Linked DNA regions of Mus musculus. Each later gene encodes a partner of the first gene's protein in a complex. Each region holds a gene or a part of one and is shown in the gene's direction. Other genes may lie near its edges.

Region 1 (4,497 bases):
ATGATTCCCTCATGGCACTTGCATACACATATCCTCTTGCTTTGCTTCTCTTTACCCCCTCCACCAAAGCTTAGCATTTCTAGGTTAATGTTGCCTACCCCAGATGCCCATGAAATCTTTTATGCGGTAGTAGTGGCATTTCTGAATGAAGTGGCTTTAACATATGATCTCAGGGCCACCACTTGTCAGAACAGTGTCACTGAAAGGCCATGCCTGTGGGGTGGGGTGGCAGTTTCTGTAATGGCTCATCTCATGGGATAGGAGCTATGCTCTCAGTCCTGTGGTGGCTGGGTTAATTCAGGCAATTCACTTGTAGAGCCCGTTTTTTGATGGCCTTCCTAGGAGAACGATGGTCAAATTAACCTTGAGAGACCTTTGCTTGTAACTGAGGATTTACCCAGTCTAAATATCTCTACTCACTTTCATCTTTACTGTTTCTCTTTCAGATCTACTGTACAGCTGGGAATTTTATAAATGCTTATGTCCTCCTTCCTCAAGTTCAAAGAGAATAATGTAATACATCAAGTCCTCAATAAACAGACATAGGAAGTAAGCAGATGAGTGAGTCACATTTTGAGCAGAGAGCAACAAATGTACTTTGAGTTTGGATTCTGACTCTCTAAGGACAGATTTTTTTCCATCCATCCATCCATCTATCTATCTATCTATCTATCTATCTATCTATCTATCTATTTTGTAACCTGCTACGTCAAATGTCATTGAGTTCCAGGATGGAAAACGAAGTGTTCATTAATCAACTAGATGCAGGAATGCCCTCTTTCCCTTTGGGACAAGTAAGGCTGAGGTGATGGCTGATGCACATCAGGGGATAGGGAGCTCCTGACTGTCCTATTGGAGGGGTAGGGGGTAAGGGTCTTTCCTGGTTCTCTTTCCCACTTGGCACTTTCCTTGCGATTATTACTGCAGCATACCCCACACCTGCTGCTGTAAAGGCCAGAGAGGACAGAATCAGCCCTCAAAGCTTCGCCCAAGCTCCTCGGCCACGCGCGCAGCGTCCCCGCCGCGCAGTCACCTGAGTGGCCAGTGCCCCGCAGCGTCGCGCCCGCGCACGAGTGGTCGGCACCTTCTGAGCCAGCAGCATAGAGCCCAGGCATCCCTGCTTTACGCCACTCCGGGACACAGGTGGGACACTCTTTTAGTCCTCAATCCCTGGCGCGAGGCCACCCAAGGCAACGCAGGACGCAGGGCGTTTGGGGACCAGGCAGCAGACTGGGGCGGTACCTGCGGAGAGCCACGCAACTTCTCCAGGCCTCTGACTACTTTGGAAACTGCCCGGGGCTGCGACATCAACCCCTTAAGTCCCGGAGGCGGAAAGAGGGTGGGTTGGTTTGAAAGACACAAGGAAGAAAAATGTGCTGTGGGGCGGGTTAAGTTTCCCACCCTCTTCCCCCTTCCCGAGCAAATTAGAAACAAAACAAATAGAAAAGCCAGCCCTCCGGCCAACCAAAGCCCCAAGCGGAGCCCCAAGCGGAGCCCCAGCCGGAGCACTCCTTTAAAAGGATTTGCAGCGGTGAGGAAAAAACCAGACCCGACCGAGGAATCGTTCTGCAAATCCAGGTATGTTGAGGCCATCTAAGGCACTGGGTGTCGGGGCGCGACGCTACTCGTGGACTCCTGCCTGCAGAGGAGTTCTTCGGAGGGGCCTGAAGGGTCTGTGTGTATCCAGACAGTGACGCAAGCGCAGCGACAGCGCTCCGGACCCAGAAACATAGCACCTGGGTTCAGCTGTGGTTTCCGATTTATCTTCAGGGGTGTGTGCTTAGCCTAACCTCCATGGGTTTCTTGTCTATCACATTTAGAGGGTTGGATTCATTTCAGAGGGCTTTTTAATAATACCTCAGGTGTGCCTCATATTAAAAATCTAGACTTCTGTAATTGCTAATCTTGCTAATTTCATGAAACTAAAAGACTCCATTGGTCTTGGGTTGGGGTTTTTATGTGCATTAACAATCAATGTTTTCAGGATTTTTCAGTTAATAGTGGTAGGGAAAACATAGCATTTGTAAAGAATTTGGAAATATATAATTAATACAAGAATAGATCACCTGGCACTAAAAGAGTCATGTTACCTTTAAGCCAATGTCTGCAACACTGAAAAACTGAATAGAAAAAGGAAGAAAGAAGTACCGCAACTACATAAATAACCTGTGGCTTTCACACAGTACTTTTTTTTTTTTTTTTGTATTGTATATTTGGAAGAAAAAAATTGTAGAAAGCCAAAAATTGTAGCTTTCTCATCAAATACTGTGTGGCACTTGTGGCTTCTTAGCATAAAGTTGTGTGCAGAATGTTTAAGAAGTGGTTTTCCAGACCACTTCAGAGTGTCTCTGAAATGAATCTCAATAACAGAGACAGCAACTTCAGTGATATGTTTAATAATCTTGGAATGAATCCCAGAAAATAGTAGAGGTTAACTAAACAGATCAATCAGAAATTAGTACTACACACACACACACACACAGTAGTACTATAACGTGGCAGTGTACTTTTTGCTTAATTTTTGAAAAACAGAACACCTTGACATATGTGGGCACAGAAGGAGACAGTAGCTTTTTTTTTTTTTTTTAACCACATAAAATATTTTACTGTTGGTATTTTTAAAATTGTTTGGGATTTAGACACTGCCAGTTAGGCTAGGCATAGAAGCATTTTTAGCTAATTTTGTTGGCTATGGTCTAAAATGAAATAATGTCTTACCACCCACAAATGCTTTGTGTGCAATCTAAGAAGCAAAAGGACTTTGAAGTACTCCTTTATGAACACAGTTTAACTTATTTTCAGTTCTTTCTCTGTCTTTTGGCTGGGAAGAACGTCGACCAGTTTCTCTGTGGTCCTCATAGTACCCCCTGAAGCAGAGGCTCGGTTCCTTTGAAACTGAGCAGACTGAAGTGGATCCTGTGCTGATTAGCTAGGGAGCCTTAGAGCTCAGATACCCTGCTGGTGCTTGCTTGAAAAACAAGGGGAACACTGCAGGCATCTGCCTCTTAGATCCAGGCCAGCTCATTCACAGCTTGGGGAGCTGTGGAGCTTGGCAGAGACCCTTTTCTCTTTTGCAATGTGGGGCTCTACTCTCCTATGACTTTATCGAGGAAAAACAGTCATTGCTTCGCCCTTAGATCACTAATACAGGACCAAATGGTTTGTGTTTGTGAAGTGGGAGGTCTTGGAAATAAGGGGGGGAAAAGCCAAAATAAATGAATTCTTTTGGCAGATACTGTATTGCATTTTTTTTTATCCTTAGAGGCAAACACTCATACTAAAAAATATGTCCTGTGGAGTTAAAAATGAAGAGAAGGCTTACGCTCAGTTCAAATTCTTAAGATTTTATGTGATTTACAAATTCCAATTTTAATTAAATTAGAAAAGTGCGAATGTTCACCTACTGGCCAGACTTTGCACATACATGCTTTTGGGGTTTTCTATTTGGATTTGATCTTTTACAGTTCAGAATATTTCTTCTGAAGCACACACCCACACCATCAAACAAACAATGTGTAGCTCAGGCTGATCTCAGACTCATTTCGTTGCGGAGGATGGCCTTGGGTTTCTGGAGCCTCTGCTGCCTGGATGCTGGGATTGCAGGTCTGGCCCACCTGGTGTATGTAGTGCTGGGAATCAAACCCAGGGCTTCCTAGGCAAGCACTCTGCCGAGTGAGTGGCACCTGCAGCTCTTTTAAGTAATATCTGCAAAATATCTGTTGTCTTTTCACACCCATGATCTTAGTCTTTAGCTGTTTTTAACATTTGAACCCTGACAACTATAGGGAGAAATGCATAAGATGATTGTATTGGCTGGTAAGCCAAATAGCGAATCATTGCAATGGGCAATTATAAGAGCAAAGCTTTTCTACTCATTATTTAAGAAAGATAACATGACGATGTCCAGACTCGGTGCTTGCTTCTTCCTTACCACCAGCCTTGTTTTTGCCTATTTTAAAAGAAAAAAAAATCATGAATGTTGAATGTATCTTTTTGTAGATTATTTAGGCTATATATTGTGTCTGTAATATTGTTATTTTCTTCGCTTCCATTCAAAGCAAAATATTATTAATGAGCTTTTTATACTCTCTGTGTTTTTACTCCCCCCCCCCTCTTAAACTCATTCCTATACAGTTTTGAATGCTCTGCCCAAGTTCTTCAAGGCCTAGGGAACTGTCAGGTAGGTCTCTGATGACATCAGCTTTGCCATTTGGTCTCAGTGTTCATTCCATTCTGGCAGCCTTGTCCCGGCCGGGCTGCCACATCTTCTCCCTGATATCCAGGGTGGCATGGTTTGTGCTTCCCAAATTTCTTTTTCCCAGGCTCCACCCTTCTGTCTGCTTTGGTGGTCCCCTCTTCAGAGTCTTTGCTCTGTATTCTCTACTCTTGAAAATCCCATGTGATCTCTGTGTACTGAGTACTTAGACCATGACAGTTCATGTCTTGGCTTCCTGCTCTGAGCCTTGGACCTCTTTCCCCAGCTTCCTGCTCAGCATT
Region 2 (4,344 bases), on another chromosome or scaffold:
AAAACAGGGGGGGTTCTGTGGGCAGAAGGGATGGACCTGACTCCAGGAACGCCCATAAGAGACGGGCAGGACTGGGAGCCAGGAGCAGCCAGCGCAGGTGTGTGTAGGTTTCATAGTTTGCAGGTTAGCAAACAATTCTCGCTTGGCAGGCCAAGAGGGAAATAAAGGTTACCCCGTGGGTACTTATACAAGAGAAAACAAGACAATTTTTGGTTGACCAAATTCAGAACTTTATTTGAGGATGCTAAAGTTTTAATTTCTTAAACTTCTCATGTCAGAACTATTGTTCTTGTTTGTTTCCCAGCCATTTAATAATGTCTTATAAAAAAAATCATGCTATTTCTATTTTTGTACCGGGTAGTACCAAACCAGGCAGTCAGGATTTAGGGGTTAGTCAGGGTCTTTCTACTCAAAGTAACTGTCTGGCTGGTTCTGAGGATGATGGTTTGTTTTCAAAGCTATTTTCAGTTGGGGTGAACTCAATAGGCCTGATCCAGTTGTTTCACACCTGGATCCCTGGCTATCTCTAATCCTTAACAACTAGCTGAGGTTTTAAGACAGAAAGCTGAACTGTTCTGTATCTGTTTCCTCCCATTAGGAACCCAATGATATTCTTGCCTTAATGAAAAAAAAAAAAAAAAAAAACAACAACCGAAAACAACAACAACAACAAACCAAACAAACATTGTTTGATCAGGGACAGGCCCTTGCCACCTGCCCCTGGGACTGGTCCAGAGCATCCCTAAACACACTTGCGACCTTCGAAGCAGGTGCATTCTGTGATGTCACAGGATGAAATGAGACGACTGTTCTTCGGGTACCAAAGGAAGACAAGTTGCCCTGAGCTTGGGACCAGTTTCTCCTCTGAGCAGCCAGGTTAGGTATGCAAAGAGCTGTCGGAAAAAGCAGCTGGCAGAGTCCTGGCTCACTGGTCTCCCTGTCCCCAAGCCAGCCTTCTGTAGCCTCTTGCTCCCTGCGGTGCTGGAAGCACCATCCCAAGGGACCCGTCCTTAAACTACCGCTGCTCAGTAGCTGCTGGCCGGACCTCGAGGATTACCGGCTCATACCAAGCGCCCCCAAACTTGCACTCGAGGGCGCGGCTGAAGTTCTCCCTCGAGGCGCCTAGAATGGAGCACTAGGTTGCTGCTGCCACTGTTGCTGGCCCGCTGGGTGGGGCGGGAGTTGGCGCTCGCAGGGACTGGGGCTGGCCGGACAGTTGCGCAAGTGGCACTGGGGCAGTTATAAGAGGGGCAGGCAGGCATGGAGCCCCGGAGGGATCCCTGCTCCAGCAGCTGCAAGGTAAGGCCCGGGGCGCGCTACTTTCTCCTCCACCAGTCTTTCTAATAGCACCCCATCCAGCTCTGGAAATTAGAGAAACTGAGGCAAGAAGGAGGTCATGTGGACAGCTTGGTGTTGAATTCAGTAGTTTTGCAGCGAGGGACTCTGCAGACAGAGGGAAGGCTGTTGGGAGCTGAAAGGCATTAAATTCCTGGCTGGGCCGGCCTGTGCCCACAGGGCACCAACCTGTTCTTGCAAAGCCAGCCAGGGCTCCAAGCCTGTCTTTGGTCTGCAGACTTGAGATGGTTAGGTTTCCCACAGCGTTCAGATGGAAAAAGCAAGGCTGGACGTGTAGTGAGGCAGCCACAGCTTTCCGCCTTCCTGAAGGCCAGATACAACCTTGCTTTGCTGTTGAGAGTTCATTTTCCAGTGAGGGCCTACCTAGTACTAAAACTACTGTTGAATACAGGTGGGTAGAAAAACTGTCAGGAAGAACCCAGTCCCCTCCCACCTTCACCCCCAACTTGAGCGTGCACACACAAACACACACACACACAACCAAACAAACCATCATCAACAATAAAAAAGCTAGGGCTCTCTCCACATCTGTCCCAAAGCCATTCAAATTCTCTTCTTTGGGGAACAGAACAGCAGATTGTGGAGAAGGCTTGTAACCTGCACAGTTTTTGCTGGTAGGCATTTCTACCCAAGATGGTTAAATACACGTTGCCAGCCTGAGGTCCCTGCATGCCCCTCCTTCAGCTTTCTTTCTTGCTGGGGTTAGTATTACTGCATTGTGGGTATGGTGCCCTTACACTACTCTATGTCTTACTGGGTGCATTAGATATGCCACGATGCCCTGTGTACATTGCTGCTTGGGAGAGGACAAAGCAAGCCAGTCATTTCTATTGGGAGCATGGGACTCAGGAGAGGCAGGCAGAGGGCAGGGATTTGGTGGCACCATCCTGGGAGCATAGGCTCTCTGAGCACTCTTTGCAAGGTGGGAATGGAATTCCAGTAGTGAGAGTCATATTTTTCGTAGAGTTTGTGATGGGCAGTGGTCAGCTGGGGCTGGGGGAGAGCATCTCTGACCTATTGCTGATTTGTACGGTGCATGGAACCAAACTTGAAAGGAGGCATGTCTAACAGTCACTCTCCTGGTGACTATAAGGACCACACTGATCATGTATTTCATTGAGGCACGAGAGAAGCACCTCTCTCTCTCCCCCTCAGACTTCTTTTTTTGGTTCTTTCCTTTCTCAAGCACTCAAGATACTGGGCTTAGGGGAACATGCCCGTGTTGGCTAAAGAAGCATCCTTCTCATATTTGGTAGATCTCAAACCCAAGTAACAAGTTCTTCTTGGTATCTGGGGGGAATATTTTCCTCCTTCCCCCCCACCCCCCGTGTTCCAGGAAAAAGCTCAAAGAGCCAAGGACAGAGCCAGGGATGCTGTAATAAATTCTTGTCCATCAGCCCCGGGCAGATGCCTCGCATGTCTGAGTGACCCATGTGGGATGCAGAGATGGCTGCCGGAGACAATTCCCTTTACAGAGCACCAGTCATTGTTGCACCCCATACCCTGTATCCCTCTAGAGGCACATAGGATACAGGGAGATAGAGCAGGGTCTCCAGGAACATGGAATTCTTGTGGGGTGGATATCATTGAGCATTCTGGCCCATGGACACAGCCTTGGAATTCTCTCTCCATACATTTGCCTTCCAGAAATGCAGAGGTTAGACTATAAGGAAAGACAGGGCACTCAGATACACCAGGCAGATCAGCGCTTGCTTCCCATGCCCTGCTCTACAAAATACTGCATGATCCCATCTCTCCTGCTGTCTGTGAGCTCTCTAGATCTACAATCATGTCTGTGCTGACATTTCACCTAAACCAAAGACTAAGACTCCATCTGTGTGCGCATTGTCTTTGCCCTCAGGAGTACCACAGAGTTCTGCAGGGAAGCCACACAATAGGCATAGGAAGCTCAGTATTGGGTTCCTTGGCAAAGACAGGGCACCTAGAGTGCTGGAAATGGACAGACATAGAATGGAAATAGACGGGTTGGTGGTGGGGAGTCACTGGGAATAACAGTGCACACAGCAGAGGTAAGACTGAAAGGAATCAGAACTAGGTAGGCAGGGATACAGGAGAGATGTGGAGGCTTTGGAGGGAGAGAAAGACAGGCACTGGAGCACTTTAAGACAGCTTCTTAGGTATTTCTGTGGGGCAAAAGTAAATTCTAAAATGGCAGGCCATGCCTGCAATCTCAGCACAAGAAAGACAGAGGCAGGAGAAGAAAGAGTTCACGGCCAGTCCGGTCCATGTGAGGGCATCTCAAAACAAAGAAAGATGATTTTTCAGAGGGAAGCCACCTTAGGAACATGTTAGCCTGGTCAGCGATGAAGGATGGGGAATACTTTACTTATTCATTCAACAAAAATTGAATAAATGCCTGCTCTGTGTCAGGCCCTTGGTAGATGCTGAACCAAGTGCAGGCGTCTCTAGTAGAGTGTGGTGCCCCTCCTCTCTGAGTGCATGGCAGGAGCTCCAGATCCCCTTTGGACAGTGCTCCAGGGAGTCACTGAAAATTGATCAGAGTTGATGCAGGAGTTGAAATCTATTTGCTTTCCCTAATGGGAATGAAAAGAATATAACCCCCTCACCCACACTGTGCCTACCAGCTAAGAATGTCAGCATGATTTCTCAAGCAAGGCCTTTGGTTGCAGAGAAGAGAAAATTGCTCCTGCTAAGATCAGTGATTTTCAAATTGTATACTGTGGCCAGCACTTGAAGAATGAGCTGAAATCCCCTAGAGATCACCTGCAGCAAGGGCAAAGCCTTAAAGAAAAAAAAAAAGAAACTTTTAAAAAACACTGTGTGTGTGTGTGTGTGTGTGTGTGTGTGTGTGTGTGTGTGTCCAAGAGAGCCATAGCACATGAGTGGAAGTCAGAAGACAACTTTCAGGAATCAACTGGTTCCTTCTACCATATGGGTGTGGGAATTGATCTCAGGTCATCAGACTTGGAAGAAAGTGCCTTTACTCTCAGAGACATCGCATCAGCT

What was found.
Region 2: the proteins of Lepr (region 1) and Lep are in contact, whole or in part, in a crystal structure (PDB 7Z3R), measured with the Mus musculus proteins. Residues at the interface, in NP_666258.2 of Mus musculus: Tyr439, Leu440, Thr441, Arg466, Ser468, Leu469, Tyr470, Gln499, Pro500, Ile501, Phe502, Leu503, Leu504, Ser505, Val560, Phe561, Glu563, Asn564; in NP_032519.1 of Mus musculus: Lys26, Val27, Asp30, Thr33, Leu34, Lys36, Thr37, Thr40, Arg41, Gln92, Gln96, Asn99, Asp100, Glu102, Asn103, Asp106, Leu107, Leu110.

Annotation. Positions count from the first base shown.
Region 1 is NC_000070.6:101,716,361-101,720,857, forward strand, and holds the start of Lepr (leptin receptor isoform 1 precursor), read left to right. Parts: upstream 1-1,545; 5' UTR 1,546-1,578; intron 1,579-4,497. UniProt on the Homo sapiens protein: Receptor for hormone LEP/leptin. On ligand binding, mediates LEP central and peripheral effects through the activation of different signaling pathways such as JAK2/STAT3 and MAPK cascade/FOS.
Region 2 is NC_000072.6:29,058,950-29,063,293, forward strand, and holds the start of Lep (leptin precursor), read left to right. Parts: upstream 1-1,271; 5' UTR 1,272-1,299; intron 1,300-4,344. UniProt on the Homo sapiens protein: Key player in the regulation of energy balance and body weight control. Once released into the circulation, has central and peripheral effects by binding LEPR, found in many tissues, which results in the activation of several major signaling pathways.